Linked DNA regions of Bombyx mori. The protein of the gene in region 2 purifies or fractionates together with the protein of the main gene of each other region. This does not show direct contact. Links are inferred from orthologs where the notes say so. Each region holds a gene or a part of one and is shown on either strand. Other genes may lie near its edges.

Region 1 (2,635 bases), on a different chromosome or scaffold from region 2:
CTTTAATACCATTCCCGTTAAAGCTTTTGTATCGGTAACGTAGTTAAGTGGAGTGGTAGCTTTACCCTAGTTATCATCTGAAGTGTTGAAAGTCCTCAACAGAGTGGTATTTCACACTTAGAAAAATTATCACAGTGGCTTCTAAGCTGTGTAAAAAGCTTTTAAGCTGTGTAAAGCATAGGTTCGGCTTCCTGTGCTTTCATTTCTGGATCTGTGTTTTCAAGTACCAGCTGTTTCCACTTGACTCCGTAGAGAAATCAATCATTGGAATTATTGATTATATTCACATGGACCATGTAGAACCTTTGGATCAAAAGAGGGAGCTTAGCCATCGTTATAGAAAATTTGATCAAATGAAGTAGGTATGTTATTTTTGCAGTCTGATGATAGAATCAAACAAACAATAGCAATTTTAAACCTTAAGCTGGCAAATGTCAAGATTTTTAGCGGGAACGCGAGAAGTGAAGTAGCGTGAAATGCTTCATTTTGTTAAAGTCTTTGTAATTAACCATCACTTTACTGTGACTTTATTTCATCCCATTTCACCTTATTTCTTTTTATTTAACTTCATCTCGACTGATTAATGTATCAAATTAATCAATTTTCTTTTATTTCGCTCTATATATCATTTTTTATGAAAGAGAATAAAATATACACATTAAGTAGCAATAAGGGATTAGGCAGTATGGTGTAATATCTACGACTTTCTACTTGGAAAAATGGAGCAACTACTACTGTCACTGTTTGACACCAAAGTATGACATTTGCCTTATATTTGTCAATAGAAGATAATTTACAGAAATAGAAGTCTGTGAATTTCTTAGACGAATTTTGATTAGGGAATTATATAACAGAAAGTTACAATTGCATAATTTCTTCAAGAATTAAATTTGTATTAAATAATATTGTTTATTATAAAGTATAATAAAACTTATTTAAGTTATGCACACGGATTTGTCACCCCATTTACACACCGATGAGTGTAATATTTTTATCAAAAAATTAGTAGATTGCCACTTAAATGTAAGTTTACTAATTGTATATTAAAAACGATTTAGTCCACAACTTACTGTAATGTAACGTGGAAACTATGCTTCATACTTTTGTTTTTAGGTTATAATTGAACCTTTCATTGTATTCAACAAAGATAGTACTATCATAAAATAAACATAAAAGTTTCGTTTCAGCATCCATTTCGTAAATTTATAGGTTATTGCAATGATTATGATCGCGACATGAGGAAATGTTTGAAAGCTGAAAGACTTCAGAGGCAAAAAGCTAATCTAGATGAATCTAGACAACGCCACGCCAATATTCGAGCACGAATTTTAGCCCAGAGCGCAGCAGCCAACTGATATATATTTAAATTAGAAAACATAGTTTTGTGATTATGAAAACAATGGATTTCAACATTCTAGATTCAATACCAGACTTAGACAATCTGAAGACCTTCACAGAGAGATACTTTTCAAAACGATACTTAATTAATGTAGATGGCATAAAAAATAATGATATGATGATAATGTTTCATTCAAACCGAATTGCATTGTTATCTCTAGCACCAAGTCATTCCTTCTTCAGTAAAGACGAAAATTACAAAATTAACTTCAACATTGGTAAAATTGATCGTTTGAACAATTCTGTCAAAGGAAAAAGTAAAAAGGGCGGACAACTATTATCTCCAAAATCTGTGATTTGCAAGATAGAATTCAGCGATGAAAGCGTATTTGAAGTGCCCTGTTGCATGAAAGGTACTTTGGTTGAAGTTAATGAAGAACTTGTACAGAATCCATTGTTGCTGAAAAACATGCCAGATTCTGATGGATTTATTGCCATTATGCTAGCAAGTATAGCAATTTCAGAAGCGACAAAAAGTGAGTTGTTAACTCATGAAGAGTACATAAAATGTATTGATTGTTCTGTTAATAAACAATAGTATTAACTTTTTAAAGTTTGGTTTTATTTATTTGATATTGTATTAAAACCAAATTAACTACAATGTAAACTCTATGAAATCTTATTTCAACAGGATTATTCCTAAAAGTGATTAGGTTCATTGGATCTTTGTTAACATAATTAAAAGTACTTTTGTGACTGTTCATGTCATATATGATCACGATTGTAAAGTATTGAATACAGTCAGATATCCATACAAAAAGCATCTCATTCACAATTGAAACTGTTTTATTATCTGTTAGAAAAATTATGTGATACCAGACAAAAGAATTGGCGCTTTTCCTTGATCATGAGGACAAAGCAGCCCATAACAACTAGTGATAATGAAAGTATAAAAACATGATTAAACTGTAAAAGGAGTTTTAATTACTGCTGCAACTCTTGAAACCAAAGGTGGTGCTATGTTAATAATTCATTAATTTCACATTTAATCGTGCACTTTATTGCAACTGTAAGTGGATGACAGCCTACGTGATGCTAAGTAGGCTACGAATAAATAGACTTATTATTTATTCGTAGTAAGTAGGTCATGGACATTAACAATGCTAGGGGCACAGACAAGTTGTCACCAACTCCAAATAATCTTATTTATTTTTAGAAAGTTAATATTTAATAGTGAATATCTTATAAGTTTAGTTTTTTTCTTTTCCCAATCGAAAATATTCACAAGTAATTTCAC
Region 2 (3,123 bases):
TTTCTTTGGTATCGCAGCTTGACACCTGAAGACGTGGACCACAGATTGAAGTTCATGTCGGCTGGACGCGAAGACGTGGACGTGAGGTGTCTCGGTGATGGTAGACCCTTCGCTATCGAAGTAAGGTTTGTTTTTAATAGTCTAGCAACAGTTAGTGTGGTCATGGGTAAAGTTAAAGAATTTGGTAGGATTGAGTGTAATCTCTCTCTCTCTCTCTCTCTCTCTCTCTCTCTCTCTCCCCCTCTCTCCCCTCTCTCCCCTCTCTCCCCCTCTCTCCCCCCTCTCCCCCTCTCTCCCCCCTCTCCCCTCTCTCTCCCCTCTCTCTCTCCCCCTCTCCCCTCTCTCCCCCTCTCTCCCCCTCTCTCTCCCCCTCTCTCCCCCTCTCTCTTACAATTAGTAGAATAGAACGCACGCACGCACGCACGCACGCACACAGTGAAAAGTTATAAAAACATGTATACTAAATTTGCGACTGGAACAGGATGGCTCCAAAATGGTCACCGATTGTGTCATGTTCCAGATCACAGACCCGAGAAGAGACCTCACCGGTGACGAGCTGAAGAGGGTCTGCAAGGAGATTTCGAAAGGTGGCCAAGTGATCGTTCAGAAACTAATGCATGTCTCCAGGTACCTTTTTTTCCTACCTAACCTTGAGAGGCTATGTCAGCGTAACCGGGCGAGTAGGTGAGCTCGCGGGGCTCAAACTTGACGTTGCTAATACGAACCCTAGTAAGGGCCGGATCGGAAACGCGACCCACTGAGAAGATCCGGCGAGAAACTCAGTGGGCTGTGTCAGCAACAGTCTGGTCTGTAGGAGGGGGGGGGGCGTCAGCTTCGGCACGTGATCACTAGGGTAGTGATTGCAAAGGTGGTGAGATCTGCAGTAGACGGACGAGCCCACGGATTAAGTCGTTACCATAGACATGAGTTCGAATTCTTAATTGGCAGACGGCTGCGTCCACCGGCCCTAAAGAACGGATCGTATAACTGAACAAACAGTTTACCTATCGAATGACGTAACAGCGGGTACATATCGCTGTCTCTCTCGCTCGTCCCGTAACGCTGTGACGTCACAACTCGCACGACTCGACTTGTGTACGTTTTTTCTGTCCCAGGAACGAGTTGTCGGAACTTAAAAAGGGGGAAGAGACGAAATGCAAGACTTACGAAGCTCTGTGCATAAAGCTCGGAAATGAGAACGCTGAACCGAATATTGTGAGTTTTTTTTGTTTATTCCGTTGAATTAGCTCAAGGCTTTGACCGCTTAATGCTAGTAAGGAGTCTTAGCTTAGCTGGGCGATCAGTACAACGGTTCTGATAGTAAGGTTTTTGTTATATACAGTACTGAGGAGTGGGGCGTTGTCGGAGCCCGTACGGGTAGGAGGTTTTTTTTTTTTACTGCTTATGTGGGTGGACGAGCTCACAGCCCACCTGTTGTTAAGTGGTTACTGCAGCCCATAGACATCTGCGACGTAAATGCGCCACCCACCTTGAGATAAAGTTCTAAGGCCTCAATATAGTTACAAGGGCTACCCCCAAATTATAATTTTGCAGCTTTGATTTTTATTACACGATGTTATTCCTTCACCGTGGAAGTCTATCGTAGACATTTGTCAAGTACGTATTTGATTAGAAAAAATTGGTACCAGCCTGCGGGATTCGAACACCGGTGCATCGCTTCAATACGAATGCACCGGACGTCTTATCCTTCAGGCCGCGACGACTTAAATAATTAATAGCGATCTCTGCTATTTTCCAGCTGAATGGAAAAACGCCTGTCGCCGTCACCGAGGAGGACATCCAGAGGATAAACGAGTACAGGAACACCGAGGCAGGGGACGAGGCCAGGATCGTGGTGAAACAGAGAACCCCGATCCGAGTGCTGCACAGGCGCCCGCTGCTCACCAGGACCCGGAGGATATATGACGTAGTGGCCAGGAGGGTGCCTGGTGAGTTACTCCCGACCTTGGACCAATTTTATTCGCTTTATATTGTTTGATCAAGCCGTAGCTTGGAACAGTGGCTCTGGAGTTAAATTTGGAAGTGATATCTTCTTTAGCGCTTAGCGTAATGAAAAAATGACACTAAAAAGAGACAGACATATATAAGATTTGTCTGCGAGACGCGAAGTGGAATCGTTTTGAACGTTTACCCTTATTATAATTTTTTTCGCTTCAGACGTTTATTTGAAAACGTGCACGCCGCCATCTTCAGACATGAAGTCGTAGTCTCAAATGTGTTGTATGACTGTCTCGACTTTAAAGCTGGAACGCGTTCCCGTCAAAAAGTCCGGTTCTAAGATCTCAGTATAGTTCTACCCTATTTTTTTTTTGTTTTCAGACTACCCGCAATTGTTCACCCTCACAATCCGCACGGAAGCGGGCACGTACGTGAAGGAGTGGTGCCACGGGGAGTTCGGTCGCACCACGCCGAGCCTCCGCGACGCCGCGGGCTTCCGGGCCGACATACTGGCGCTCGACGTCACCGCGGTGCTGCTCGACTGGCCGCGACCCCAATAAATGATTCGATGTATATTGCGAAGTTTTATTTGTTGAAATTATTTCGTTAGCCTCGTCTGTATTTACCTTTTTTGTAGTAAAATTTTAAAACGTATCGAATTTCTTCATTATATCCACTCATCTTGACAGTACGAAAAATAAATAAAAATCACACATTTTCCTAATTTGAATTTGGATTTGAAGAATATAAATTCTTTAAAATTTAAACTTATTGATACTAAAACCAGCCAGATACAAATAGTATAGCCAAAGAGATTTTATTACAAATTGGAATGATTGGATTTTATTACAGTTGGACACTGAAGCTCACGGACGCCAACAATGCCACGGAAACACCGGAAACAAGTTCATTCCAATGAATGACTCAGTGACGCGGTAGTCATCGCTGCTGACTATGGGGCCGAGTGTTGGGGGTTCGATTGATGATCTTGTGATGATTTATTTGCTTTTTACCCGTACGGTGTTGAATATTTATACGTGTATTTATTTGAAATTAAGCATTTAAATTCTTCTTTATCTCCACCTTATCCCACTAGGTGGGGTCGGCATTCGGATTACAGTAGTGTTAACTATGTCTGTGTTTGCAGAGCATTCCAAATGTTTC

The links.
Region 1: the proteins of putative tRNA pseudouridine synthase Pus10 (region 2) and protein Abitram purify together in Homo sapiens (affinity purification with mass spectrometry; 3 studies listed by BioGRID and IntAct, counting the BioPlex papers as one, with this or other methods). This does not show direct contact. The link is inferred for Bombyx mori from reciprocal best matches to the Homo sapiens genes PUS10 and ABITRAM.

What each region holds. Positions count from the first base shown.
Region 1 is NC_085113.1:6,927,716-6,930,350, forward strand, and holds protein Abitram, read left to right. Parts: upstream 1-1,355; 5' UTR 1,356-1,390; coding exon 1,391-1,936; 3' UTR 1,937-1,951; downstream 1,952-2,635. Other genes in the region: COX assembly mitochondrial protein 2 homolog, read left to right, coding at 943-1,023, 1,188-1,355. UniProt on the Homo sapiens protein: Actin-binding protein that regulates actin polymerization, filopodia dynamics and increases the branching of proximal dendrites of developing neurons.
Region 2 is NC_085129.1:17,029,473-17,032,595, reverse strand, and holds the end of putative tRNA pseudouridine synthase Pus10, read left to right. Parts: intron 1-17; coding exon 18-120; intron 121-520; coding exon 521-627; intron 628-1,115; coding exon 1,116-1,215; intron 1,216-1,759; coding exon 1,760-1,949; intron 1,950-2,340; coding exon 2,341-2,519; 3' UTR 2,520-2,532; downstream 2,533-3,123. UniProt on the Homo sapiens protein: Protein with different functions depending on its subcellular location: involved in miRNA processing in the nucleus and acts as a tRNA pseudouridylate synthase in the cytoplasm.